Alligator mississippiensis: one gene and its partners. The protein of the gene in region 1 purifies or fractionates together with the protein of each later gene. This does not show direct contact. Links are inferred from orthologs where the notes say so. Each region holds a gene or a part of one and is shown in the gene's direction. Other genes may lie near its edges. The genes, in order: DHX8, CRNKL1, PPIE and NKAP.

Region 1 (7,632 bases):
ACGTTTCATTGCACCCTGGCAGGAATAGATTCCAGAACGATACAAACACTAAAGCCACAGGACAGCAAACCCAGCGTCTCTGCTGCAATGTTGTTCTACATCCCCTTCAGACACTGCAGGGCTCCTTTGGCTACATTAGCATTTTTGGAATCTAAGCTCAACCAGAGGCTGTTTCTGTCTGCATCCAATTTGCATACTTATGTACTGTATCTCCATTCAAAGGTAATTTATTGTCCCAACCCCTTGGGGTGACAAGGTGTTTACTATCTGTTCAGCTCAACTGCTCTGGAGTTCAGGCAAATCAAGGCTATGGATTACTTGTCCATCTGCCTCACCCTCTAGCCATCAACATGAGACACTCTGGCTGCTGTATTATCATATTACGTGAAGCTGGATATCAATGCATGTAAATAATTCAATGCCTCCAAGAATAGAGTAGCGATTAATGAAAGGGTACTGGCTGTTGTTTGGGAGAGAGGGGATCAGCTGTTGCTCACTTTCTGTCATGATAATGACTTTCTTTATAAAGTCAGGAAAATTATACTGTCCTTTGAAGTCTAATGAGCCTTACTCAGCCATGGATATATGTACAATGGGAGGGGAGCTGCAAGCCCACAGCCCCTTTACAGCTGTCCTTAGACCAGATCAACCCCAACTTCTGCGGCTCAGTTAAACTTGGTGACGTACAGTGCACATAGCGTGCATATAGCTCTGGGAGGGGGAACCCACTAATGATTTCTTACTTCAGGAAGAAGAGGGCAATGGAAACAGAAATATATGCAGGAGTCTTATCCTCAGGTTAGGGTCATGTTAAGGTACAAAGAAAGTCTCAGTGAAAAAAAAATCTTACATTGTGGAATTTAAGGGTATCTGCATTTTTACTGTATTCACTACTCTCCCCAGTACGCTGCCCTCTTACCGCCCCAACCCTTTGTTAACTCGGAATAGATTCCTTTTTCATGTAACAGGGCTAGACATGAATCCTCTAGCAAAAGACAAAACAGGGAAGTAAAATTTCCCTGCACTGAGTTCTGGACTATGCAGCTAGCTAGTTTAAAGCTAGCTTTGCCTCTCTATGCTGCATTGCAGATGGTAGTATAGACATATCTATAATGTCCTAGTCTCTCCTCTTCTGCCTCAAATGCAATAGGAGACATACTTTTTTTTCTTTTAAACTGCTATTCAACTACACAGGAATGCAATGGAATCACTGCTAGGCCCACTCTTTTTTCCTGGGGGAATAATAGCCATCTTTAAAGCTGTATCATTTCAATTAAACCTCATGCATGCTAAGTAAGAACAGTTTAATACTTTCTCCTCCTCTTATACCTTGCAGGACTCTGCAGAGCTACCATAGTTTCATAGTTTCATAGTTGGTAGGGTCAGAAGGGACCTGAGCAGATCATCAAGTCCAACCCCCTGCCATGGGCAGGAAAGAATGCTGGGGTCAAATGACCCCAGCGAGGTGATTATCTAGCCTCTTTTTGAAGACCTTCACAGTAGGAGCGAGGGGTTGCTATAGCTACACTACAAATCTATTTAAGGGCTTTCTTTAACATCCATCACTAAACGGCATAAAGCATTTAACAGCAATCCTTACGGGCTCATGAGTTAAGCAGTTATACCTATAACCCTCTGAAAGTGGTAAGTATGCTCAGAACAAAATTCACGTGTTGTAAGGATTCTACACTTTATCTCTACTTTTTGTTATTTCTCACATTCCTTCCTATTTTGGATACTGGAGTAAAAGGTGTATCATTTATCTAGAGATCTTTCCACTGTCGCATTAGTTGCTGCTTTGTGGTGGGTTTGCACTCTACTTTATGCCTTCCAGTTTCAGGGTGCAGACACATGGCACGTTTACTCTGGTATAGTTGCAATTTACTCCAGAGGAAAAGTGGAACAGGTGCAGCATGCACAGCACTTACTCTGAAGGAAATATTGTTCTGTAGTGTAAAGTTGCTCCTGAGAAAATCAGAGCTAAATTTATTTCAGAGGAAGTGACGTAGGCATACATGCCATGTGGGTCCCTCCCATGGTCTGTTTCAAACCAGAGTAACCATTTGTTCAGTGCAAAATGGTTCCCACAGCACTTAATAGCCAGGTACTGTAATAGAGTCAGGGTGGATCCAAGGGAAGAGGTGCAGTTGCATCCCCCTTTGATTCCTGCTCCACCTAAAGTTTAAAACTAACTGTCTGGCAGTGGCAGCAGCATTTCTATTCAGGCAGTGGTGAGGATATCACTTGACTTTGTGGCTCATTATAATCTACCTAACTCCTTCTAAACTCCTTATTTTAGTTATTAACACCACTCTCTCCTTTGTGATGGTCTTAATGTTTCACTGATCAATCAAGGCAGGCAACGTTCTTTGGGTAGGTGTGATATCTTTTATTAGACGGACTGGGTAGTTGGAAAAAAGTTCTTTGCAAGCTTTTGGGCGCAATCACCCTTCTTCAGGCATTAGGGATTCTCTGCTGTTCTGAGACTCCAAGGAAGGAAAGAAGCTAAAACTGTGATAGCTTCACCCAACAAGGACACTTCCCCAGTGAGATAGATCATGTTTTTGAAAGAGTCACCCGGATACCATGGAAAGATTTGGTGCAGTAAAAAAAAGAAAATCACCACAAGCCGCACACCATTAGTTATGACCCTTCTCTGGAACCTACACAGAAAATCCTCAAGCAACTGCAAACCATAAGAAGCAGACCTAATTCTTAAAGAGATTTTTCCAGAACCACCTAGCCTTTAAAAAAGCACCAAACCTCACTAACCTCATCACAGAAGCAAACTCCTTATGACCCAAACCACACTGAATGGATCCAGACCATGCCAGGACAAGAAATGCAAAACCTACCAACACATCTCCACCACTCCCACAACAGAACCATCACCATTCCTGGATCTTACACCTGCACCTCCAGAAATGTTATGTTTTATATCTCATCCAGTACACCAAATGCCCTGATGGAAAAATATGTAGGAGAAACCAAATAACAACTGCACACCAGAATGAATGCACACTGTAAATTTATCAAAGGCAAGAACACCCAGTTACCTGTGGGGGCACACTTCTCACAAGACAATAACTCCTCCCTCCCTGATCTCTCAGTTCTAATCCTCAAAGGGAACTTACAAAACACCTTCTGTAGACGAGCCTACGAACTTCACTTCATAAATCCACTGGATACAAAAAATCATGGACTCAATACAGACATTGGTTTTATGACACATTACAACCTGCCAGACCTGACCTTTTGTGCTTTTCTTTCTCCTCCACTCCCCCCTCTCCCCTACTTTTCTACCCTTTGTCTTCCCAATTTCCAGCTATTTACTTTTTCATATTCATCCTCTTTTCCACCTTGGAAAACTATTAGAGTCTCCCATACTTACCTTTGGCTTTTTTTTGCTGTCATTTTCTCCCCTCCCTTTCCTGCTCTACCTTTTGTTTTCCTAATTTCCACCTATTTCATTCTCACTGATATCCTGTCACACTTTTAGCTTCTCTTCTTCTTTGGAGTCTTAGAACAGCAGAGACTCCCTATGCCTGAAGAAGGGTGATCGCATCTGAAAGCTTGCAAAAAACTTTTTTCCAACTACCCAGTTGATCTAATAAAAGATATCACATCTACCCAAAGAACTTTGCCTACCTATGTCCTGAGACCAACATGGCTACCCCCAAAAACCTACTAATCAATCCATGAACACTGAGTGCGCCCAGAGGCTGGAGTGGCATGGTGAGCTCCTGCAGTCTGCAACAGTGCTGTTGGGGGCAGGAGCATGGTGGTTGCAAGTGGGGAGCTCCTGCAGGCAGCCACTGCACTGTCGGTGGCGGGGGGGACCACCCGCAGACACTGCTGGCAGTGTTGGTGGCAAGCTGCAACTGCCCGCAGGTGACTTTCTGCAGGGGGTGCACCGCCATGCTCAGGGGGTGCATGTGCACCCGCATGCACCCCCTATGCATCACCAATGAATCAACCTATCCTTTCTTTTGCACCTCTTTTGTTAGCTGCTTCTGATAACGTAGCTTGTATTTCACAGCCCCCCGCCCAAGACTGTACCTAACAACATGAATTCAGGTGTGGAGATAACTTCCCACAAAGCACTGGATGCATGCTCAAGACGCTCAAGGAGGCCAGGTCTCATTTGCTGAATTTGAAAAAAAAAAATAGTTTCATTTCGATGACAACAGGAGTGATGAAGCAGCAGCTTTTGATTATTTTTCCTCGTTTGTTGCGCTTTTATACGTAAAGCACACACCCACACAGCCCAATAAAGCTGCATTTGTCTTTGCTTCAACTGAGCCGAGGCACAGCCATCCTGGGCTCCGAGCGAAGCTCGTCGTTTCTTTTTCCGCGGAGGAAAGAAAACGTGTGCTGCGCTGCGCTCCGTGAGGAGGCACCTCACCATCTGCACCCCCTTTCCCACCTGCCAGGTCCGTCCGGGGCCCGGGGAGCAGGCCGCCGGGCGCGCTCTGCGGGATGGCCGCCAGGGGGAGCTCCGAGCCAGGGTGTCTGGAGCACCCGGCGTCGCTGTGGCATGGCGGTGGCTGTGGGAAGCGCAGCGGCGAAGGCGCCGGCACAACAGGGGGCGCTCTGGCCCCGCCGCCTCCTCTCTGTGGCTCCCCGGGACCCGGAAGTGCCGGGCGGCGGGCCGGGCCGGGCCGGCGGCCATGGGCGACCTGGTGGGCGCCGAGGAGCTCGCGAAGCTCGAGTACCTGTCGCTGGTGTCCAAGGTGTGCACGGAGCTGGACAACCACCTCGGCATCAACGACAAGGACCTGGGTGAGCCGCGCGGAGCCGGGTCTGTTGTGTCGTCCCCCCCCCCCCCGCCCGGGCCGTCGTTTGCGGGCGCAGCTGGCCCGGCTCCGCGTTCCCCTTGCTGGGATCTGCTTCCCCCGCACAGGCTCCCCCACCTCCCCCAGTGCCTGTGGCTTGACAAGGGACCCCGCCTCCCTCAGCCCTCGTCGGCCCTCTGCCCCTTTCCTGACCGGTCGCCTTCCTTTTCAAGCCCCTTTGCGGCTGGGTCCTTTCCTCCCTGCGGCCCATGCGCTGCTGCCAAGAGATCAGTTGTGCTGATCAGGCAGCCCAGCCCCTCTCCCCCCCTCGCCCTCACTGCCTGCTCGGCACATTTCCAAGTGCTTCCAGACCCTTCCCCGTGTTGCCCCTGCACGCTGGAGAGGAGCTCTTTGTAAATGTGCACCAAAAAGTGCCTCCTTTGCTGCCAGGCCTAACACCGTGTTTATGTGGGTCAGGCAGGGGCTGTGCCGCGATCACTGCCTGTCGTATTGGTCAGTAGCGTCTCACTGTTTTCTGGCATGCCTTCACCTCTGGCTACTGTTTTTTGTCATATATCTTTGACTGGACCTGAGCACAGCAGAGTCCTGCTGCATGGTGGGGCTTCCCAGGCCCTGTTGCACTATAGATACTCAATAGTAATTATTATTCTTGGAGCTCAAGCACTTGGTGCTACGTTTTGGCCTCAGGTCCGAGCCATTGCTCAGTTTTCTCTCCGTAGAGCAGAGGGGATGTGGTCAGTACTTTCTATAGCCTGCACGTGACTAAAAGTAAAGTAAAAGTTGTAAAGTTGGGTTGCCTCTTCAACTACCCAATTTTACTTTTACATGAGCTTTCATCCTTAGAAGTTGGAATTGAGCACTTATCATGGTCCTGTGCAAGAAAACCACCATGAGTCCTGACCATATCTTTGGGGTTTTAATAGAACCTGGTGAGAGCTCAGCTCAACACTGCTGCTATGGCAGGTTTGCCAAGTCAGGTTTTTCTTCAAGTGATATACTCATGTGAAGTAGTGCCGCTGCAGGTCCTGTCTTTTGGAGAGCATCTGCCATCTTTCCCTGCTGGAAGGATCATTATGGCTCTTGTAGGAAATCATTTTTTTGTTCCTAGTAGAGTGAATTCTCATAGCTCATACCTTCCTTCCTGGATTATTTGTGAACCCTTTTGTAATTGAAGAGCACCATCTCCAGGCAGCTTTGTCAGTGTGTCACTAGAAGCTAAGGAGAGCCTGTGCTGCACCTTTCCCCTCCATGGTTTGATGTTGTTTAGTGACTGTACTTATAAGCTCTAGTCATGGCCTAGGATACCATTGTGTTCAGCCCTATACAGCACAGAAGAAAAAGATGGTTTTTGCCTCAGAGTGTTTACATGCTTACTTAGAAAATGAGTTCTCTCTCACCTAGATGTGATTCCTCCAGGTCTGGCTTCTCAAAATTAAACCAGAGATAGTGGCAAGACAAAAAGCCTGCCCTGCTGAAGGCTATGTTCCACCTTTCTGATGAATAGATGGGAGATTTCACTATTTTGGGTTGCCAAGCCAGCTATCTTTCGTCACAATGGAACATGTTTGAATCTGCTTCCATTAATTTTGTTTAATTTACTCTACTGCTTTTCCTTCACAGCGGAATTTGTGATAAATCTTGCTGAGAAAAACACTACATTTGACACATTTAAAGCTGTCCTTTTAAAGAATGGCGCCGAGTTCACAGTAAGTGAGATTTAGACCCTGTTGCATGTCCTTTCTTTATCCTGAGACTCTTTGTAAAAGCCAGTTTCTATTTAAAAAAAGTTACAAAGCTGAAGTGTTTGTTAATTAACATGCGACTGTTTTTACTGAAAAGTAGTTTGTGTATCTCGGCTTGCAAACACTTCTATCCAGCACAGGTTTTTTTTATTAACAATATTTGATATGATTTATATGAAGCACGCTGTAATCTTGAAGACTCATTTGGACTATTTGGTGTCTCATTGGTGAGCACATGCAGTGCAGGAAAATCAACTGGTGTGAAAACAAATATTTATTAAAATTTGTTTATGGTGTTCCAATATCATGCTGAAAGAGTAAAAAAAACAGTGATATGCGGGAGAGTAATTTAAATGGAATTTCATAACTGTTTTTACAATCAAGACTTTTTTTTGTGTTTCTGTACAAAAGAACTACACTTTTTATGGTCTGCACGTGAATTCCTGGACTACCCAACTTTACTTCTACATGAGTTTTCATCTTTAGAAGTTGAAATTGAGCACTTGTCACTGTTTTATAGTCTGTGTTAGTTTGCAAGAATTCCACAACGAGTTCTGAAAATGTCTTTGGGGTTGTTGTTGAATTTTTCAGGACTCCCTTGTTAGTAATTTGTTACGCCTCATACAGACGATGCGTCCCCCAGCCAAGCCATCTACAAGCAAAGGTAAGTGCCATCTAGCTGTTCTCAACAGAATAGAAAACTGTTTAATTCTTTAATTATTTGTTGACTAATCTGGATTTGACTGGGATAGCCTTCCTCATAGTTTTGTGGATGTGTTCCATATATCCTGTTGTTACAGCAGAAATTTGTGTGATTTGAGGTGTTAAGACAGAGCTTCTAGGCTACTGAGAGATTTCTTTTATTAAATGCAGGATTAAGAAAGTTATAATCTTTAATTAATTAGGCTGTCTTTTGTGGGAGATTATGTAGTTATCTTTTAATGTAAATATTACAAAATTTTCAGTAAAGCTAACATTTAGCACAAAGCTGAAGTTTATCCCTTTTTCAGAAATGACAAAGACAATTATTTTAGCCAAGTAATAAAAATAAACTTCTAACAAATTTTATGTATGCTTCTTTTGTTCTTAATCCA
Region 2 (7,212 bases), on another chromosome or scaffold:
CCAAACAACGGCTGCACATCCTAGAAGATGCGGGACAATGACAACTGACACATATACTAGGCTACCAACCTCGACCGATCCCGCCAACTGGTCCGGGCCCCGGAGGCACCCACGCCTAACAGCGCACTCTGGATAACACCGCAGCCTGCCCCAACAAACAACTACTCGAAGGGGGCATCTATAAACTATTCCAACCACTACGACATTATGCTCGTAGATATACAAAAGACAATTTTATTATTTTTTAGTTTTCTTTGTTTGTTTGTCTGTTCGTTTATTTTGTTCCCTTACAGGCCCAGCGGTGACGAAGAGACAATCTGTGACTGCCCGATCACAAAAATCACCGAACACCAATCTGCAGCACACCTGAGTCGACGACACAATGACCGCCCCTGCTCATATGTTGCAAGCAGGGTCGTCGCTCTATTCCTGCTGTTACCAACAGTTTCTTCGGCGAACGGAGCTGACTTCAAAACCTCCAACTCGGTCCTCAACCTTTTGTCATTTTAGGCCAAAGACATAACTAATGACTCATTTAATGGTTTTTCTTTTCCTGTTAATGATCTTATACATACTTGTTTGTTTTGTTTTAAAGCCTGTTTGAGACTTTACGCAATAAAACCAAGTCATAATGTTTTGAATAAAAAGCTCTAAATTATTAAAAAAACCCCAACATTGATAGTCTGAAGGTTTGGGGGATGTCACAAAAAAGTCGGATATAGACAAAAACATTGATTAAAAAAACGTAAAAAAAGAGATGAGGGAGATGATGATAAAAGGGGACAAATAGTCAAGGTTCTAAAGGAACCTATACATTCAAAGAAGAGGAAAAGAAATGGTTTGAGAAGAGAGGTGACAATAAAAAAAAGCCGCTAATGACAATACAAAAAATTGGTGTTTTCAGAGCTACGATTTAACTCAAATATAATAAGCCACAATTTTAAAAACCCTCCGTATAGGGGGCATTAATCTGATACCTCACTCTCAGTTACCTTAAAAAAATCGAATTAAAAAAAATTACATAAAATCAAAAATAACAGTTTACTGCGTTTAAGTTAATTCAAGTGTCGGCATCTTTGATTATCTTGTGTTTACCATGGATCATAATAGCCATTGTTATATTTGTGTGTTTTAGTTGTTGGATTTTACAATATCTCAAAACTAAGTTAACCACGCTTTTTGCTTTTATATACACTCGCTTGCCAAACACTAACAATGATAAACAAAATGGTCTATATATAAACATGATGTGACTTGCTGTGCCATGGACAAGGGGACATGTCACAACCAAATTAAATAGTGCCCATGTCACAAACAAGTAAAACCATTCAAAACAGTTTTTTTCTACACTAGGTTAACTAAGGGTTAACAATAATGATAGTAACCGCTTTTTTGCTGCGCATGCAAAAAGAAATTTATTACTGCGCCACTAACAGAGATAAAAACTTTTGCCTTCTTTGCTTTATATAAATCATTACAATTGGTCGGAATGACAGGGGAGTGTCCCTATGACAAACACCCTAATAAAAACCACTATACAATTGGCGATTCTCATTAAATTTATGACGTGACAAAAAACAATTGGCTAATATACAAATAAAACCCGTCTTCACTTCCGTGAAGAACGGGAGACCTCCGCACACACACCTAAAAAACCTCTAAATGTATGCGTAAAAATAACTGACAAATTGATCACTTGTCAGTCTCCCCCGTCTCGACCTTATCAGACGTAAATCAATGACCTGCCGGCCCGATTTTTTCTCCGTTTATCTGCCCGACCAACGAACTCTTATACAGACCGACCTATGACCTACGAACCTTAAGCTATAACTAACCAAGTATCTCTGACCTCCGCTATTCACCACCTTGATGGCATAAATAAATAATCTTGCTTTACAACCGATAAGCGTCCGCCTAATTAATTCCACTCCAAGCTTCACAAATACCCACCTGACAGCCTTCTAAGGCCCTGGACCCTTATCTGCCCGGGTGAGAGTCAGAGAGAGCTGCTGGCCGCTGCCCTGGGTCCTGACACATCTCATCTTATAATTTCTATACACTTTATAGAGACAGGAGCCCCTACCTCATCCCAACTTCCCAATACCATATTGCATCGCAGGTCCCAATCCTAGATGCTCATACTTGTGGGAAGGCCCCTATAACCACCCAGTATCCAAGTCACAGTCATGGGTTTTATTGTGTAGAACTAGACCTTACCAACTAAATCAGGGGTAGGCAATTATTTGGGCTGGAGGACCACTTAAGAAGTGGATCATGGCTCTGCCCCATGCTGTTACCACCCTACAATCTCAGCCCTGGCCCCAGCCACCCATCCTGTTCCTGGACGCTGCTCCCCGCCTGCCCGCAGCCCCATGCCAACCACCAAAACATAACATGCCCTGCCTGCAGGGGTCCTTGGCAGGTCTCCATGGAGATACTGCCTGCCTGGCACCCCTTCTGACCCTGAAAATCTATGAGATTGAGGGCAGTGGTTCTCTCCCAGGCCTTTTATCCGTATCTTCTCTTCCAGCTGGTCAGAGACTTTGACCCTCTAAATAAAGGCCTCTACCATCACTCGTTCACTGTACACATCCTCTAAAGGCTACTAATGTCACATCCCTTATTCACTAACACAGGCTCACATGGACTTGTTTCCCATTACAGGAAGACTAGCAAGAATGCATCTGCAGAACCAATTATGCTCACTTGGGCAAACAAGTGACCGTGTAAGAAAAATGTCAGCAGTTACAATGCTGCTGAGGGCAGAGGTGCAACCTCCTTGGATGGCTGACAGGCAGACCCAGATTTGCTAATAAGCAAAGGGAAATCCCCACTTCTTACATTCCTTAAGAGGCCGCCTCAGCGGCATGACAAAGTTGGCAGCTGGGGGGAAACTCTACGGGGGAGCATGGAGGAAGGCAGGGGTTGGTGCACAGGCTCTGACAGTTGGGGGACAGGGGGCCAAAGTTCTAAAAGGAGAGCTGGGGCGCAGCAGCCTTACCCATGCTGGGACTCCTACACCATCCCAGCTGAGCTGCTGCTGTCACCACTTGTGCTCAGCCTGCCTCATCTGTTGCTCTTAAAGCAGTAGCAGGCAAGCTGTTTCAGAGTTCCCAGGAAGGCAATGCTGCTGAGGCTCAGACTCCACAAGGGTGGTGGGTAATCCTGGCACCTCTCCTAACTTGGCATCAGGAGCAAGAGGCAGGGGCCTCTAGTAATGCTGTGGGTCTCCCTGCCCCACCACAACTGTGATTCCCCTCTCCTTAGCCATGCATCCCTGCACTTTTACATGTGAGGGCACTATATCTGTAGGGTGGCCCACATGCAGGGCTATTGTAGAATCAAAGAAAATGACGGTTAGGAGGGATCTCAGGAGGTCATCTAGTCTAGTCTTCTCAAAGCAGGATCATCCCCAACTAGATCATTCCAGTCAGGGCTTTGTCTAGCCAGGTCTTCAAAACCTCCAAGGATGGAGCTTCCACCACCTCTCTGGGTAACCTGTTCCTGTGCTTCACCACCCTCCTAGTGAGAAAATTCTTCCTAACATCTTCCCATTTGATGCCTTTTTTTCAAGTGAGCACATGAGAGAGCAAACTCTTGCTGAGGGCAGCTCAGCTGGGCTATAAAGTGTACTTCTCCCTGCCTGACTTCAGGCTCATCGGGCAAGCTGCCTCTCCCAAGTCCTACATGGCAAGCACCCGCCTGGCCGCGCAGACCTGCAACAGGGGAGGAGGCTGCGGCTGGGGAAGCCAGAAATGGCTAGGCAGCACCGCCCCAGGGAGGGCCCCATCACCCCGCCCCGCAGTGCCCCGGGCGGGCGCGAGGGGTCGCACAAGGGACGACCGAGGGGAGAGGGAGGAAATGTTGGGCGGCAGGAGTGCCGCGCGGCATGCTGGGTGTGGTAGTTCCGGCCCGCGCGGCATGCTGGGGGATGCAGTTCGTGGCGCGAGCCCAGGGGAGACCGCTGCTATCCTCGCGGCCCACAGCGTCACTCACCTCGGCAGGATGGAGCAGATCGGAGTGCCCGGCCCTCGGGCTGCTGGGGCGGCGCGGGCAGGGGCGGGGCGCCCTGCAGGAGCCGAGGCGAGCGGCGGCGCCGGGAGGACGCAGGAGCGGTCGCAGCCGCAGCAACGGATCAGCCGCGGGAGACGCGCCGCCGCCGTTACCGCGGCAACGACCCGGGCGACTCCGCGCATGCGCGCGGGGCGGAGGTGAAAGGTCAGGGCTGAGGCCTCTCGGGCCCGGAGAGGCGGTAACATGGCGTCTACGGCGGCCGGCAAGCAGCGGATCCCCAAAGTGGCGAAGGTGCGCGCGAGCGGTGCTGTGGGGGGATAGAGTGTCCGTGACCTGCCCCTCCCCCCCCCCCCCGCTCCTGCGGGGTGCGCAGCCCGGCGGGGTGGTGGGAGGGGCAGGGCCCGGGCCCGCGGCCGGGACCTACCAAGTGCGTGTTGCCGCGAGGGGGGCGCAGCTTGGAGCACCGGGGTGGGGAGGGTGCCGTGACGCAAGCGGCCGTCTCAGCGCCTCCTTCCCCCCCCCCCCCCCCGCTGCCAGGAGTTCCACGGTGATGGGATTTGTACCTTCATTCAACCCTTGTAGGGTGCACCATCAATCACAGTCAATGTGCTCACACTGCACACTCATTTTTGAGGAAGCGCCTTGATGCAAAACCCAAGTTGCTCTCGGGGAGACAACTGACCTTTGGGTTGTTGTTTTTTTATTAATATATTTAATGTTCCAGGTCAAATCAGCTCTGTATCATATCAATTGGGCAGAACTCAGTCATGCCCAAAACAGTGTGGGTTGAGCAGGTAGAGCTCAATAGTTGTAAACACTATGTATGGTGGTAGCATCCTCCATGCCAGCCTCTCATGTTGGGACTTTGTGGACTCCCAAATCTATTGGCAGGTGTCCTGCGTGCAGGCTCAAGCCTGGAGGTCTTGCGATTCAGATGCTGTCCTTGCAAAAGGCTGCTTGATCTTAGCCCACAAGAGGCCAAGAAGTGATTCAGATCATATCAATTGAGCTATCAGCACTTACTTGTGATGGCTTCCCTCAAAATAAAGAAATGCTCCGACTCTAACCCAGTTCTCATTCACTCCCTGGAAAGTTACCAGGAGCAGTATAGAGTAAATCACATTTATTTGCATACTTATTTCCATATTTTTCTGTGTACAATAGGTTTTTAAACACGTACAATAATTTTGAGCTTCCAATACGATAATTTCATATTTAAGACCTGGTAATTTAAGACCCTCAGATTTGTCACAGCTAGGCCAGGGCTGGGTCTCTCAGCCACGGCTTCTTCGGGCTAATAAATCATGCTACTGCCTCTCAGTAAACTCTTCTACATCAGCTTTGGGGTTTGGTCACTAAAAGGCACAAGTCAGGCCGGCCTTGGGGCCAGAGAGGTCCCCATGGGAGTCATGGCCTCTGCTGCTGCCGCTCCAGCTCCCAGTGTCCTGCCACAGGTTCAAATGAAAGCCAGGTAGAAATCAGCTGTCAAGTGGTTGCACATTTTCGAGCACTCACATTGTAAGCGGCTACCTCTTCTTAAAGCCGGACAGTCCTTTTTTTGCTGTGATAACGACTTTGGGCTGAATTTATTGTGCAATTGACTGCTTTGTTGTGTAATGTATGTAACGTGCAGCATGGGCCCCATTGGCAGCTTCTGCCTTTGCTGTGGCACCAGGTGACAAGCACGGGCCAGGCTCCTGCCCTGCATCCCAATTGGGCAGACTTGCTTGGGAGCCAGCGATGTCATGGGCGCTCCACCGTAGCCTGCGTAGAGGCTGGTGCACTTAAGCAGGGGCCTGTGCACAGGAGCTGCCTGTGTGGAGCTCAGTGCAGGATTGGAGCCTTTGCATGGCTGTACCTAAGTCACTCAAATGCAGATTTTATTTTTTGCTTTAAATAGTGTAAACAGGGGTATCAGACTTACCTTGTGCCCCAGGTCATATCCAGACCACAGGGCTCTTTGCAAGCCAGATGCATCCCAGGATATGAAGAAACTACAGCAACAGTGGTCGCTCTTGGAGCAAGCCTTGGCTACAGCTTTGTGTCGTGGAGGATGCACCCCTATCTGCTTGCAGACAGGACTCCCTATGGGAGGCTCATAATTAGCTTCCCACTGACCAGCTTCCAGTGGGAGGATCACAGCTACACATCGCCTTCATGGGAGACTCTTCTGTAGCTTGCTTCTGCGTCCATATGGCTGGGAGCAAGTGAAACATGGGGGCATCTGAACCCCAAGCTTCCGGGCTTGTGCCTGCACGTAGGATGCCTACCAAAGGATTTGGAAGTATCTGAAGCCCCAGACTTGGTGGAGGATACTTGCCAGTAATAGGGCCACATAAAGTTTTTGAATGATTCCAGGGATTTGGAACTGATCTGGCTAATTTAACCTGGAACACAAAAATTTTTCCTTCAAAAAAAAAAAAAAAATTGCAGTGGTCACAGTTCTGAGCTCTGACCTAAAGCACATAATAGCAGCTCCAGTCTGGTGCTGGAACAGTTGTCACATGTCCCATCCCACATGTGGTGGTAGCTCCAGCACAGGACATGCGGCAGGGACCAGCATTCTCCTTGTCCTCCTGCTGCCAATTGCCATGTCCACCCTGAATTCTGTGGCAGGCCACTCCAGTAGTCCAGTGGGCGCCAGGGGCTCAGTCTGGCCCCTGAGCGGTGTGTTTGACACACCTGATGTAGTGGAATGGAAATAAGAAAATGGAATCCTCCAGGCTACCAGTAGGGGCAGTGTTACTGCCACGGCATTATAATTAGTTACCTAGCCCAAGGGTTGGCGACCTTTTACAAACAGTGGACTGGTGCTTGCAATCTGGCTGCTCCCAATCCCTGCTGCACTGTTCCTTCCCATAGTGTCCCTGCTGCTGCCTCCACTTACCTGCATCTTCCAGTGCTGCAGATTTGCTGTCTGAAACATCAGTGAGGAGGGGTGAATTTGGCAGTGAGAGTAAGCACTGGCTGTTTTAACAGGCATGAGAGCTGCAGAAAGGGGCATTATGGAGGGGATCAGCAGCATGGTGCAGGGCAGAGAAGGGGAAGGTGTCAGGGCAAGCTGTTGCGTGCTGTAGATCCTACATGCCACCACAGGCCAGATCCAGACCTCTTTGCAGGCTGGATCCAGCCTGTAGGCTGCCAATTCCTGGTCTAGTCTATTGCTAATATTATGATCAGATACTAAGTCCAACATAG
Region 3 (7,936 bases), on another chromosome or scaffold:
GATGATTCGGAAGTCAGTCCTGCTGCCTTCTGCACAGCGAGGGAGCTGAACACATTTCTCATTATCATATTTGACTTCAGAGCTTTTTAAAGCACAAAGTCTCAAGCAACTGGGATGCATGAGGCTCCTTTTTGTGAAAATAAGGGGTGTTTTGCTAGCCCCTACACGCAGTAGTTTGGGTGTAGATACAGTGATGCTTAAAAATGATGGTAGTTGGGCATTCTGACTTAGACTTGAAAACATCTAGTGTTCCCTAAAAACTAGTAGTGAAAAAAAGATCAGGGGTGGGGCATGGAAATTAGATGCCATGGAAATGTAAAGCTAATGTTTGCTCTAGTTTAAAACTTCGATAGGTGCTTATCTGCTTCCCTTGTTAGCTGTACTTGCTGCAAAGGACCTGTGAGAGCACCCTGCAAAGACCATTTGAACTTTACTTTCCTAGGAGAACGCTTGTTCCCCCTGATTCAAGCTATGCACCCCAGCCTTGCGGGGAAGATCACAGGAATGCTGCTAGAGATTGACAATTCAGAGCTACTGCACATGCTGGAGTCTCCAGAATCCCTCCGGTCAAAGGTAAATTCTCCCACTTCTCAAGGTAGTTTGGATTGAGTGATTTTGTTAAAGATGATGGATCTTACCTGGCAATTTGTCTTCCCTAGGTGGAGGAGGCTGTTGCTGTGTTGCAGGCTCACCAAGCCAAGAAAGAAGCTGCCCAGAAGGTGGGCGTGGTTGCTGCTACCTCTTAAACCAGGAAGACTGGTGAGTGTGTTAGTTAGAACTTCTTAACCTTAGATTCACTGGAATATAGTTTGGGAGGATATAAACTGCCAAGAAGTGGGGTTAGGTATAATGGCATCGGATGCCAGACTACGTCTTGTAAATAGAAACTTCCACTTTTAATCTTGAAGAAATAAGCACATAAAAAAGAAGGTAGTTCCTTACAGCAAGCAGACATGTTTGGAAGATTAAAATATGCTGACATGGAATTCATAAAGCCCTTTAAATCATTCACCTGTGTCGGGGAATAGAATTCATCAAAATGAGACCAGCCTCGAGCAATTTTTGTCCAAACCCAGGTATGCTGCTAATGTCCATGTCTTGTCCTGACAGTTACCCTGAGGTAGACAAGAATAGCACCGAAGTGCACACCATGACTTGGCAAGCTTGGCATGACTTGCTGTGTGGTTCTTGGTTTTGCTAGTTGCCGAGTGATTCTTATAGAATCTCTGATTTTCTTTTTTCCATGCCTTTTTAGATGGGTATCTTTAGACTAGGACTGGATGTTCATATGCTTTTCTACAACTGTTTCATTTATGAGTTCTTTAATATGGATGTGTGTGGAGTTACCAGGAATTTCAAGGCATTTTCTACAGGACTGCTGCCAGAGCACTGGCAGTAAAGGATTATGGGAAATCTTCCATTCTAGAAGGCACTGGCTTAAAATGAAAACACACCATGCATACGTGTTGTAAAAGTGTGCGGTATGCAGCTTGGCCATTGCTTGTCAATAATTTGACATTGCAACAATAATTATTCCCTCATCACAAAGTTTTCATATTTCCACCTTCAGCATAATGTTATGGAGAGGTGGATAATATCAGCAACTGTAGATAGAAACCTACACGGTGAGAGGAATAAGAAGTTATCTGGGAATTTTTAATGGGCTGGTCATGTTTAAATTACTGTCAGTCTGCGCTAAACCAAGATGCCTGTATGGGGGCAGGAAAAAAAGCAAACTAATTTTCTAACCTTTTTTCCCCGCACAGGATGCAAAGAAGCCAAATAGCCCCTTCATAGACATCAGCTCAAGATGTTTGAAGATACTCTTAACTGTCCTGCAGATCTCCGCACCATGCACCATATCCAAATAACCATATTGCATTTTGTAAATTAACCTTTAAAATCTTATTTAAAAAAAATCAATTCCATGAAGCTTTAGATTTCCAAGACCAGGATTAAGTTTGCAAGCTTTTCCTTTGTGGCCAGGACAGAGTTAACCTTTGTCTTTTCTAAGCAGGACATTAAGGATTTCTGATTGAAAGTTTTTTGTGGTTTTGGTTTTAACTGAACAATCCAGTTTGCAAAATCTGGAAAGTGTTTATCAATAAAGGAATAAAAACTTTCACTAAATGGGTCTCTTCCCCACGGTGTGCTTAGCCATCCTGGATTTATTCTGCTGGTCAGAAGTAAACTGTTAGGTAATTACTGTCTGATTGAATTGTGGTTTTAAATGTTTAATCCTGTTATTATTCTGTTTAAGCTAACAAGTGGCTAGGCCAAACCTCCACTTTAAATTATGACTTCAAACTGGGCCCTGTTTTGGATCTTCAAAGAAACTCTAAGGTGGTTGTAACTGATAGTTTATTTAAGTGGACCCCTGCCCTCTGAGGTGGTCTTGGGCAACATTTTTCAGATTAAGCACAGAAACAGGGTTTGATTGATCACTTTTCATTTAAAAATCCCACAGCAGTCTACAAGATGAAGTGATTTTGGTAGTTTTTTATTCTGCATGACTACATACTGTGTAGGAGGAACTGAGATACACTTTTAATTGGATACTGCCACTTTTTAATACTTTATTAAGAAATCCAACTTAACTAACCAATTTAACAGTTAGATGCACCCAATACTCTGAAATATACATGAAGACAGGTATTTATCGGCCATCAACAGTGCTCCCTTGACCCAAGTCAATGTGCATAGAAGTCTTGTGTTCTTTTCGTCTCTTCCTTTCAATCTGACAGTTCCTTCTTGTTTTTGTTGATGTTAAGCTTTTGTATTTCTTCTTCATCTCTGTGTGGTATTTCAACCCCTATATGTCCCTAGAACCTTGTCATTTCCTTTTAATAGTCACAAATGTAGTGTTGCGCTGGTAAGTGTATGCTGCACCTTAGAGATAGATGGCTGCCTTTCAGTGACAGTAGAACTAGCGTGTGCTTTGTGACGTTGGGGTGAGCCTTTGGCATGGAGTGTGGTATAAACATGAATACAGGAGAGCACAAGCACAGCCCAGATCAAGGCAGAAGGGAGGAATTGAGACTGTCCAATGACTTGAAGATTTTACTAAAGGAAAACCATTGAAATGCTGAGCACGTACCAGTTAACGCTGTAAAATAAGGGTGCCTGCTTAGGGGAGCAGCGGTTTAATTCATGTTTATAGACCATTTGAGACCATTGGATGAGTGGTGCTAGAAAAGTGCAAATGGTTCTTTTGATTTTGGGGGTATAAATGCAAGACTGATGTGCCATTTTGCCTGTCTGCTGCACTGTTACGAGCAAACCATGGTGTTAAAATATGCAAGAAACCTGTTTAGAAATCTGGTACTTAATGGTCTGTGTCCAAGCCCAAGAATAGAACAAGCTTGCGGAGCAGAAGCACAGCAAGGCAGTGCCTTGGGTCTCCTGTTGGTAAGCTGAAAATCAAGGAAGGAAGGTTTCAGTTTCAATACTGTGTCCTAGATAACTGAGCAATCTAGTGGTAGATATCCTGAGAAATCCAGCTTGTGCCTTGGACCTGCTGCTTTGAGATGACCACTTCTAATGCATTTTTTTTTCTTTCCAACTGCACTTCATAAATTTGCCCTAGCTGCTTTGCTTAATTTGGGATTAATCCGAACCATGCCTCAGCAAACTGCTGTGCAGCTGCCTTACGCAGAAGCTCGTCAGAGAAACTACTGTCAGACTCCTGGTTAGAGGCAGTTAGCTGTATTGGTCTGAAGGCAGGCAGAAAGCAGGGTAGATCTACGCCCCTTCCAGACCAGCTAAATAAGATGCAATATGCAGCACAAACTTTCATGGGCTGAAGTTCAATTCATTAGATGCTGCTCAAACTCCTAGTTAGCCGTACCAGGTAGTTTATGCCGCAGGTCTCACAAAACATCAACTCAATGAAAAAAATATGGATAATTTTTGGAGTCAGAGATTTTTAACCTACAGGTGAGAGAAAACTGGTGATGGGGGGGAATTGTATTATCCTTTCAGCAATGGGTAGTTAGGTATAATAACAGTGGTAGAAGGCAGGGCAGATGAGATTTATACTTTATAGACTGAAGGAAGGGGAGGGGGTAGCGCACACAGCTGAAGCTCACAAGTTTGTACTATGGTGTGTGTTGTGTATCCTTACCTCCTAGATGCACATTATATGATAGAAGTATAGACTCATCCAGTGTGTGCACACCTAGTATACATAATGACATCATCTGTATATGTGTATATAGACACACACACAAGCACAAACGTTTGAGTGTCAGCTACGTATTCCATCCAGGAAGAACATGCCAACTGCTGAAGCTTTAGCCTGATGAAGGGTTTTTGAACCCAAAAGCTTGCTTAATAACTATTCTCCAACCATTTGGGTTGGTCTAATAAAAGATATCAAATTCACCCAAGGAACCTTGTCTGCCTATGTCCTTAGACCAACACCGCTACAACCTACACCTCAGCTACATATGTATGTATAGATGATGTCATTATGTATACTAGGTGTGCACACACTGGGTGAGTCTATACTTCTAACTAATGTGAGCTTCAGCTGTGTATGCATATATATTAAATACACCACACGTGCATGTGCACACACATCCTTTGGTTATCTATGTACCATATATATAGCACAACAGCTTGTTGCAGTGGGTGTGGATACACACCTATATTGTATATTTACATAGTTTGGCACAAGCTTTTGTGAGCTTCATTGTGTGCATGGTGTATATGTAGTGTGTGTACACACGAGCCGAATCTCCCAAAAGCCGGTGCTATACAACGTACGTGCAGACGCGGAAGGGGCGAGTGCGCGCGTGTCGCGCACACCTCCCCTGTCCTACACGTGGGTGTGTATAGACGCACGCATGCGCACGGGGAGGGGGGCGCACCTGCCGCGTGACGCAAGCGCGCACGCGCCCTTGGCCGACGCCCGGCGCTGCGCGGGGGCGGGGCCGCCCAACGTCCCGGGGTGCCGCGCGGGGGCTGCTGGGAGCGAAGATGGCGGCCACCAAGCGGGTGCTGTACGTGGGTGAGGAGCGGGACCCCGGGGCGGGGTGGGGGGCCGTGTGGGATCAGTTGTGAATATTGGAGTGAACATCGGTGCGAGGCCAGAAGGCAGCAGGACTCGTGCCTGCGACGGGCCCTCAAAGAGGCGCTTGGAAATCCGTGTTGTGAGGGGGCTGCGCCTCCCCCCCCCCCCCCCACACACACACACACACACACTCTCTCTCTCTCTCTCTCTCTCTCTCTCTCTCTCTCTCTCTCTCTCTCTCTCTGTCTCTGTCTCTGTCTCTGTCTCTGTCTCGTGGGCCCTGGGGAGTGGATTCATATTCAAGCCTAAAAACAGCCTTTGGCACCACGAGACGTGAACGAAAGCAGCAGGTAGGGGATGCTGGCGGGGCGGCCTCCCTTGCTCTTCGGCGCCGGGAAACGTTCGTGATTATACACGTCGCGCCGCTAAAGTGCTCGCTCTGGTTTGCAGGCGGCCTGGCCGAGGAGGTGGACGAGAAGGTTCTCCACGCGGCTTTCATCCCCTTCGGAGACATCACCGACATCCAGATACCGCTGGACTACGAAACCGGTGAGTGGGCTCCGGCTTTCGGCCCGGCTCGTTTCACACGGGGCGCCGGGGTCTCCCTCAGGAGTAATATTACGGTGTCCCGGCGGAGTGTCGGATGTCCTTCGCAAGGCGCTCGCTCTGGGGTTCACGGCGTCCCAGGAAGTCTTGGAAGCTCGAGCCTGGGGAGCGAGTTTGATTACTCCTAAAAGGACAAACGAAGCCCTGTACGATGGTAATACCGGCGCTAACACTTTTGAAACATCGCACCCCAGCATCTTTCTGCTGCATCGGCGTTATTGTCACTTAAAACGGTCTGCATTTGCAGGATGCACGTGCAGGCTTGGGAGCAGGAGGGAAACCTCACAGGCTTGAGGTTTCCAGCAAACTCCACCCATTTCAGAGGTTTCAGAGCAGTACAGGCAACTTCTGCTTGACGCTATCGCTATAATGCTCATTTAAAATTGATATCTGGTTTCACTTGGCACTCAGCAATTGCGGTTGCCATCTGGAGTCATTAAAAACGCTTGCGGTCGCTATCTTGGGTCGTCCAAAACTTTCAGTTTTGCTTAACGCTCGGTTTTTCAGGAATCAATTAAGAGCACCAAGCGGGGGTTGCCTGTATCTGAATCATGAAAACCCACCCTGAGCTTAACACCCTCACACCCCTGCATCCACTCCCTGCCTTTTAGTAAAGATTTGCTAGCAGATGTTACTGCTAAAGCTCCTTTGCTGGGCCAAACCTATAAGACTTTCTGAAATGTTTGCATGAACAATTACAACTAGATTACAGCTTCCCAAGTAGATTAACCAAGTGTGTTTTTCATGTTTGTTTTTTTTAAATGGTGTGCATTCATTTATTTTCTAATTAGCAACCCACAGGGCTTAACAATGCCTCGCATCATTTGTAAGCCAGGTCCTAGACCCTGCACTGAATTTCATCTGCACAGAATTGACTTCAATGAGGCTCTGTATAGCTGCAGATTGCTCTGTGCTGGGACTTTATTTCAGGATTGCATTTAAGATTTCCTGTTTGTGGTATTTCCCCCCCTGTGGGACAAATAAATGTTAAAATTCATTACTGGAGAATTAATTAGCTGGATATTTTAGCATCATTAACATCATAATAAAGAGTAGTTTAATGTTCCCGCAGGATAGAAATAATAGAGTCCTTTGATGTTAGTGGAGCTTTGTACCAGCAGGTAAGAAAGAAAGTCTCTGAAACAGAATCTAAACTCTCAGATGGAGGCAGCAGCATAGACGTGGATTCCCCTTGGTAGCCCAACTAATGCACCAGACCTCTCCTGCTTTGACTTTCATGGGGGCAAAGTTTTCCTGGTAATACTGTGAAGGTAACTGCTCATTGTCTCTCCACAGAGAAGCACCGAGGATTTGCTTTCATTGAGTTTGAGCTGGCTGAGGTGAGAAAAGGGCACATTTTAACACAGTTTGAAATCTCTTCTTTATTTTTTTTTATTTTTTTTTTTTTTACCTGATCCTGTGTCAGTTGAATCCAATGGGAGTTTTATGGTTGAAGTGGAAATAGGATTCTACACTTTATGACTAACTCTTTAGTGTTATTGGCTCTATATGATACTCTGTGGAATTTCTGTTCTGCTTCTCTGGTCCCACTGTTATGAGGTCTTCCACAGATTAGGGGGTTACCTCTTGGGTGTTGTGTTGGGGCTGACTGTAGTTTTGCTAAGAGGTTGGACCATGGATTTGAATAGGATGGCTTGGATAGGGCTGATCCTGCTTCAAGCAGAGGACTGGACTAGATGACCTCAGGAGGTCCCTTCCAGCCCAACTTCTCTTTGATTCTCTTTTTATTTTTTTCTGCAGTTTTTCAACCTTCGGACTGGAGTACAGCTTCTTCAGAAGCTTCTCCATGGTTCACATTGTTGGCTTTCCTCCAGGGCTAGTTCAGTCCCTTGTGCTAACAGCGATGTTTTAGGTTAATGGGCCCTATGAACTGCCCTTTGCTCCTGGTCCAATACTCCCTTCCCAAGATCTGCCCCCGACCCCAAATTAGCATGATAAATGACCAGAATCTTATGCAGATCGGGAAAAAAACCTGGATTGAGGAAGCTGCACAGCTGCCAGACCTTGTGGCTAAAAATAACTAAGAAGGTCCTAGCCGGATGCAGCGGGAAGCTACAGGGCTAGTGCTGGGGAGAAAGGAAAACCTGTGGGTAAAAATTGATCCAAAGGTGGACAGTGGAGTGAAATGAAACCCAAACTTCAGGCCAGGTGCTAAGTACCTTTTCTACAGGGTTAGAGGGACGTCAGGGCTGAATTAGCAGTAAAATATTCTTTCTTGTTTTTGCCTTAGGATGCGGCAGCAGCTATTGACAACATGGTAAGGGCTTTTTTCCTGTCAGATCCTGACTGTTAGGA
Region 4 (7,093 bases), on another chromosome or scaffold:
TCCTCCATTGGCCATCTGTTTGCACCTTCCCAAATCTGAAAGTCCTCCCTTTCATCCTTGCCCGTAACTCTTTAATTTTTCGTTAAATCGAGGAGGCATTTTAAGATGCAGTTTACATATGAAGAATTGCTTGAAGAACTTTATGTTGTATTTAAAAAACAAACGTATATTGGGCGCCTTGCACAATATGGGGTGTTTGATGGACAAGAACTGGGATTCAGGTAATCTTGGAAGCAAGAAGATAAAGATGCAAAAGCAACCGTTAATTTATCGATAAATAAATGCTTCAAGAAAAAATAATTTTTGAGGGGAGTTCTAATTATCATTATAAAGTGCAAATGTAAAGAATCAAATTATACGGTCTCTCAGAAAGAAGGAAAAAATCCCCTACAATACAGTGATAAAAAGACGACACATCTACATGTGCCCCTACAGCGCCATTGTTACTGCCCCACCATTTAGTGCTTCCTTTTGGAAGTATTAAACGACGGTGCGAGAAAAGTCCATACCGTACGGTGCTGGCGGTGCACAGTTATTTTTAGCCGCTACGTTGCTGTAGCAACGCGCTATAGCAAGGGAGCATGTTGCTACAGCAACATAGCTGCAACATCACAGTTTGTGTCCGCCGACACTACATCGCCATACCGTGTTGCTATGGTGATGTAGCGTGTTGCTACGGCGACATAGCATCTTGTGTAGACACACCCAGAAAGTGTCAAATGAAGCCATCTTAAGAGCTGTTTTCTCCTAAAAGAACTCAACGGAGAATTATTAGGGAATGAAGAGCTCCCTTCAAGGCTTGATGGGTCAGGAAAGTTGGTAGAAAAAAATTGTAGTGATAAACATTTATAATTTAAAAGAATATAAAAAATGTGATAAGGTAACGAGACAGAAACAAACCCCCATGCCCATGTTGGGACCAAGTGACATTTCAGAGGTAGAACCCTTAGTAATAATCCAAGTCTGACAGCAGTCTTATCTCAGGAGCATATCTCAGGATACAAATATGGTATCCAGGGAAATATTTTGATTCTGAAAACACTAGCAGACAGTAAAGCACTGATTTCCATCTGCCACCTACTTCATGCCCACTACTGCAGTGTTTTACTTAACAGTCAACTTTTTATGATTGCAAACCATGATTCAACTCATTAAAGTCTATGGGTGGCTTTCTATTGACATTAATGGGAACAAGATCAGACCTACCAGCTTTTAATGTACAGAGTATAAAGATTATATACCTCATCTGTGTAAAAATGCTTTGAAGCGCTTTACAAATGTTGGCCAGCTAAGCATCTTTATCTTCTATTAGAGACTAGCCAGGAGCACTAGGTAACTGAGGTCTCACGGATTTGTAATGATCGTGAGGCATGACAATACTTTCAGCAATGACAGAGCTATCCCCACGTAGCCTCATAAAGACAGATAACACAAGACTGTCACTCACAGCACAGCTCTGCGATCCCTCCCTTAGAACAAGTCATTCTTACATGAGAATATATTTTTACCTATTTTAATATACGTTGTGATTAGATTTCCTGCCACTTCCAGATGCTGCCCATAACACGCACAATGGGTGTGGAAACTGGAACAGTTTTCCATCCATGAACTAGCTGTTGCATTTATGCCTTACTTAATTTAGATCTATGTAAAGTGGCGCATGCCTTACAGTAAGGAGTACCATTATGAAGTGATTCTTTAGACCTGATGTTTACTAGATGTTGGGACAAAGCAAAGACTCTTACCCCACACATGTTTCTTTAAAAACATGGAGTTTTTTCTGAAGAAAACAGGTTCCATAAAGATTTCTTCCCTAATGTTGTAAATGAAAGAATGCTAACTCCACAGGGCAAAGAACTGCTAAAATGTGATGTTTGTGACATTTTGGATTATGACTACATTACTGATGCCGAGTGTATGATGCTGCTGTTTTGTAAGGATTAAAATAATAAAGAGAAAGTTAAAAAGAATACCCACACCTTCCGTGGTTTTCCATCTAACTGTTAAATCTGGGCTTCTATGGATTAATGAAAACCTCAGGGAATTTTGTGCCAGTGGTTTTTGTGCTTCAGTGCTGCTGTTCTATACGACTGGGACTGGCTGAAAGCCTCTGGTAACCCCAGGAGTGTTTACACCATTTGCAACAGCACTTCCCTGCATCGTGTCTCCACCCCGATTGGGAAAGGCCCCATTAGGATCAACAATATAAATCAGCCTCTGCAAACCATTAAACACTGATGAGCAGTTATTCACACAATAATCAAACTAAAGCTAATTCAACTCCCCTTACAGTCTGGCCTTGACTTTTTTCCTGCAAACACCAACAATATTATTAGTCAATGCTATTTGTGATGGTGGGATTTCTGTAGTGCTGATACCTCCCTTAGAAACAGAGTCAGAAAAAAACATCAGATAGAAACCATTTTTGGTTACATCAGCTGGGTTTGGCTCAAAGTTGCTCTGGAGATGAAAGGCTCCACGCGCCTAATAACTCCCCTTAGCCATCCAGCTCTCTGAATGGCAAATATAGGAAATACAGTAAATTCATTTTTTAAAGCCAAAGGTGCTTAATAACCAGCCTAGCTGTGTGTCTGCAGTGTATAGGAACATGCAAATTACCATTTTTTTTGGTGGGGGTGTGACTGAAGGGAAGTGAAAGGAGAATTGTTGCACCTTGCACTCCCACGTGCAAGTAGGAAGATTCAAAGTAATTCTGATTTTTTGGGAAAGGGAATTGCAGGGCCATGAGCTGTCCACTGGAAAAGTGCTGTTTTCCCTCATTCTGAGGCCTGTTCTAGTTGTGGACAGCTCCACAGATCCCATGGAGCGGAGTACAGCTGGCACAAAAGGTCTCGCTCGGGCAGCTTTTATTTTAAGAGCAACTTGAGAGATTAGCATTTTGATTCTCAGCCCGACTTGGCCTCCTAGGGAGAGTCCGGTGCAACGTGCTGCTGCACGGAGGTGGTTACGTGCACAGCTGAAGTCAGGCGGTGTGGCACCTTCGGCGTGAACTGCTTCAGACAAGCACGAGCTTTTGTAGGCACGACCAACTTCGTCACGTGCAAGGACCGGGCTGGCGGACTGAAAAGATTTTAGGGGTGCACATAGGAGCAAACGGAAATGTTTCCACGTGAAACGTGCTTGGAGAAGGAATCGTTTCAGTCGTGACCGCGGGGTTGGGGGCGCCTACGTGTCACCCAGCTGCAACATCAGACGCGACGCGAGGGCGCGACGAGGGGCGCGGTGAAGCGAGGCCCCGCTCCGAGAGGCTGGAGCGGATCACAGACGGCACAGGGAAGCGGGGCTGGAAGGGACCTCCAGAGGTCACCTAGTCCAACCGCCCGCCCGAGACGGGACCAGCCGTCTCCAAACCATCCCGCTCACCCCGGCACCCGAGACGACCGCCAACCCTGACGCGACACGAGATGCGGCACCCCGGCCTGCCGCGGGGCCCGGGGCAGCCGACGCACGCTCAGGAGACCCCAGGCCGCAGAGGAGGGCAACCCCCCCACGCCCCCGGTCCGTACCAGGCTGACCAGGGGGCACAATCCTGACCCCAAACGTGGCATGGCTCCAGCGCTAAGCGGAGGGGCCGGACCCTGCGGCTCGGGGCCCAGCGGGAGCATGGGCCCAGCCTGCTCGGCGCCTCCAGCCTGGGGGTCCAAACCCCCTCACACAGGCGGGGGGCCCAGCCAGGCCCACACCCTGGGAAATCCCCAGCGCCCGCACAGGCCTCGCCGCCCCCTGGAGCCCCCGCCCGGGGAGGGGGGGGATGGGGTGCCCCCTCCTCATCGCCAGGGCAACGGGCGCCTCCTACCTGGGCCGTCGCCCCGCTGCGCGCTCATGCTGCCGCCGTCGCACGCGGGCCCGGGAGCGCGAGGCCGCCGCCGCACAAAGGAGCCGGCGCTGGGAACCCGCCGGGAGCGCCTTGTTGCGCGGCGGAGACGCCGCAGGGGAGCACCCGGAAGTGGAGCTCCCCGCCGGCCGGAAGGCTTTGGCGGTGACACCTGGGACGGCCGGAAATGGGAGAGCGGGGGTTCCGGTCCAAACCGGAAGTGGGCCTGCCGGACGGGTTTGCTGGTGCGCCACCCGGAAGTGCGCCCCGGGCGGCCGCCATGGCCCCGGCGTCGCGGTCCCGCAGCCCCGCCGCGTCCCCAGGTTCCCGGCGCCGGAGCAGCCACGGCCGCGGCTCCTCGCCCAGCCCCTCTCCGCCCCGCCACAGCCACGGCCACGGCCACGGCCGCCGCTCCCGCGAGGCTTCCAAGGCCCCCAGCCGCCGACAGGGCCGCAGCCGCAGCCGCTCCCGGCCCCCGGCCTCGGCTCACCACGGCCACCACCACGGCGGGAAGCTGTGGCCCGAGGACTACGAGAAGGAGAAGGAGGAGCTGCTGCGGCAGAGGCGAGCGCGGGCCCCGTCCCCTCCCCCGCCCGCCTTAAAAAGGGAGCCCCTGGGGAGGGAGGCTGCACACAGGAGCCCTCCAGGGACGTCACCCCATTAAAGCGAGTGTCCCGGGGGCGGGGGGACAAGGGAACGGTTTCCTTGAGCAGCGCGTGCCAGAGAGGAGCCCGCAGAGGTGACGAGCGCACGAACGTGCAGCCAGTCTCGGCTTGTCCTCCCCGGGGCCGCGCTCCTGGTCTCGCAAGGCGCAAAGCTTTCTTGGGGACCCACGCGCGTGATAAAGCCACTTCTGCGATTTGTTTTGCACTGGATTTGTTTTGCGTTGTAATAAATAGCGTGTCTGAAATGACTCATTTGGACGATTGCTCCAAATTCCTGAACGGAGCTGTTGTGGTGTGACCAAAACGCCCGGTTTATTAGGCTGCACAAAAAAACGGGCGTGTGCCTCCTTCTAGGTCTGCCTTGGTTTTCAAGACAGATCGGCCTGTTTTTGTACTGAAGACAGACCGACCCCTTTGAGGACTGAGCAAAACAAAATTCAGTTGAGTCCTGTTCTTAGATGTAGTGTTTGGCTGTGGAATTAAAAAACAACGTGAAGTGTTTCCATTGAAGAAAGGGTGTCCCCTCATCATGTCTGGCCTGGGAGATTAGAAATGCTAGCATGCAGAGATACAAACAACTCCGCTTTTGAATGTACATTTGGGAAGAATAGTACGTGGGAATTTAATGCTGATGTGGATCTTCACAGGAGACTAAATGAGAGAGAGAGAATTGGAGAACTGGGAGCACCTGAAATCTGGGGGCTTTCACCAAAGGTTCCTGACCCAGAGTAAGTAACATTGTCTTGTGGTTGCTCCCCCTTCTTTCTAGGACCCTTGTGTGTAGTAGTGTCCCCAAATAAAGCTATTAATAATTTAATTACTTCAGTATATTTATAATTTCTATTGTGTATCTTATGTCAAGCTAGAATAAAACTTTACTTACTATGTCAGTTAAAAACATTTAAGTATTTAGTTGACCTAATTCTACTCACTTTGGTTTTCTGTTTGTTTTGCTTTTTTAAGGAAGTCCCGTTACACACATCAAAAGATCACTAGACTGATATGATCAGTTCATGATATTTCATATAATCCCGAAACACCCCTTGGAGAAGACGCTCATATGTTGTCAGTCAGATTAGGATTCTTTAGTAGTGTTTTTCTGAAAGTGACTTGTATATTTTAAATTGGCTGCTTAATGGTTTAATTCATGACTGACTCTGACTCAGTCTCTGAATCTATACACATTTGGTCATGTGCTTGCTTTTGGATAATTATATGATCTTTGCTTTAGATCATAATAAGTTAAACTCTTTGTTTCTTCTCAGTTCTGATGAGCATACTCCAGTGGAAGATGAGGAGGCAAAATCTAAAAGCAGCTCTTCAGATTCCAGCTCAGAAGGTATTTAATTTTTACTGTCAAAATAGTTTACATATTAATAGAACTTCTCAGGCTAGTGCCTGATCGTGTTATTTGCAGAGAAGTTCATTGACTTCTTGTAGATTCGGAAGCAAGCATGATACCAAGATCAAGAAGGATTTATGAAGCTAGACTGTGCTCATCTGGTTTGTAACGCTCTCTTTCAGAAGAGAAAAAGAAGAAGAAGAAAAAGAAAAAGAAGAAAAAATCATCAAAAAGGAAACGCAAAAAGCATTCTGAGGACAGTGACAGCGAGTCCGACTCTGAGCTGAACTCCAGTGGTAAGAAAACAGCTTCTCTTGGTGTGTATCATCTGAAACCTTCTCCTGTATGTTTGCAGTCATGGTCAGTAATGCGCCTGCTTTTTGTTTGGTATCTTCCTGATGTCCTGAGGTTTTGTTTCAGTTGCTTAATCCGTGTTGTGAAGAATAACCTGTAGGAGATTTTGGTAATTGTGTCCATGTCTGCTTTCAACCTTAACTACTTCGTGTTCTGTTTAAGAATCAAGTGTAACATTTTCCTAGTCCCTCTTCCTCTTCTGATTTCCTTACTGCCTCTTACATGTGGAAAAGCCTGTTTTTGCACTAAGCGATCACTCAAATCTTTCCTTAATACACCTGTAATATAGAGTCTTTCAACTTATTACAGCAGTCTCCTAGCGCAGAAGGATCATAGCTCCAGCTTCAATGCATGAGGTTTGGCCATCAGGGAATGATACCCTGGCTGTAATGTAGGCCATTAATTTTCAGGTCAAGTGTGGTAGGAACTGGAGCAGACTGTGTGATACTACATGTACCTGCTTAAGCATTATTTCTAGGGGTGCCCCGATAAAGATTTTTTGGTCAATACCAATGGCTGATTATTAACTAGCCCTATTGGCCAATACTGATCCGATAGCCAATGCACAGCCCAGCAGCTTGAAGAGCAGTGTCCGGCTGGTAAGTCTGTGGGGAGGAAGGTGTCTGTGGGAAGGAAGGGATGTGGAGGGGCCAGATTGAGGCTGCCACAGTGAAGGAGGGAATGGGGCTGGAACAGGGGCAGGTGCTGTGTAGCCAGGGTAGGGCAAAGCCACAGGCCGGGGGTGCAGGGTGGGGAGAGAGGGGGTGGTTCTCACTACTGTGCACACCCCTGGGGGAGGTATGTGCTCCCCAGATTTGTGCATGGGGTGAGGGTGAGCTGCCCGTTGCAGACTTGGGGTCAGGGGATGCATCAGGCTCTTCCCGGCAGAGGGGTTGG

What was found.
Region 2: the proteins of DHX8 (region 1) and CRNKL1 purify together in Homo sapiens (affinity purification with mass spectrometry; 3 studies listed by BioGRID and IntAct, counting the BioPlex papers as one, with this or other methods). This does not show direct contact. The link is inferred for Alligator mississippiensis from reciprocal best matches to the Homo sapiens genes DHX8 and CRNKL1.
Region 3: the proteins of DHX8 (region 1) and PPIE purify together in Homo sapiens (affinity purification with mass spectrometry; 3 studies listed by BioGRID and IntAct, counting the BioPlex papers as one, with this or other methods). This does not show direct contact. The link is inferred for Alligator mississippiensis from reciprocal best matches to the Homo sapiens genes DHX8 and PPIE.
Region 4: the proteins of DHX8 (region 1) and NKAP purify together in Homo sapiens (co-immunoprecipitation; 3 studies listed by BioGRID and IntAct, with this or other methods). This does not show direct contact. The link is inferred for Alligator mississippiensis from reciprocal best matches to the Homo sapiens genes DHX8 and NKAP.

The regions. Positions count from the first base shown.
Region 1 is NC_081827.1:152,956,915-152,964,546, forward strand, and holds the start of DHX8 (ATP-dependent RNA helicase DHX8), read left to right. Parts: upstream 1-4,629; 5' UTR 4,630-4,670; coding exon 4,671-4,782; intron 4,783-6,416; coding exon 6,417-6,502; intron 6,503-7,129; coding exon 7,130-7,202; intron 7,203-7,632.
Region 2 is NC_081824.1:229,712,471-229,719,682, forward strand, and holds the start of CRNKL1 (crooked neck-like protein 1), read left to right. Parts: upstream 1-4,199; 5' UTR 4,200-4,257; coding exon 4,258-4,305; intron 4,306-7,212. UniProt on the Homo sapiens protein: Involved in pre-mRNA splicing process. As a component of the minor spliceosome, involved in the splicing of U12-type introns in pre-mRNAs.
Region 3 is NC_081829.1:4,837,342-4,845,277, forward strand, and holds the start of PPIE (peptidyl-prolyl cis-trans isomerase E), read left to right. Parts: upstream 1-4,918; 5' UTR 4,919-4,980; coding exon 4,981-5,011; intron 5,012-5,170; exon of another isoform or gene 5,171-5,364; intron 5,365-5,445; exon of another isoform or gene 5,446-5,464; coding exon 5,465-5,563; intron 5,564-6,916; coding exon 6,917-6,960; intron 6,961-7,871; coding exon 7,872-7,898; intron 7,899-7,936. Other genes in the region: PABPC4 (polyadenylate-binding protein 4), read left to right, coding at 443-573, 660-746. UniProt on the Homo sapiens protein: Involved in pre-mRNA splicing as component of the spliceosome. Combines RNA-binding and PPIase activities.
Region 4 is NC_081831.1:72,523,298-72,530,390, forward strand, and holds the start of NKAP (NF-kappa-B-activating protein), read left to right. Parts: upstream 1-4,087; 5' UTR 4,088-4,115; coding exon 4,116-4,399; intron 4,400-5,147; coding exon 5,148-5,228; intron 5,229-5,765; coding exon 5,766-5,839; intron 5,840-6,024; coding exon 6,025-6,138; intron 6,139-7,093. UniProt on the Homo sapiens protein: Acts as a transcriptional repressor. Plays a role as a transcriptional corepressor of the Notch-mediated signaling required for T-cell development. Also involved in the TNF and IL-1 induced NF-kappa-B activation.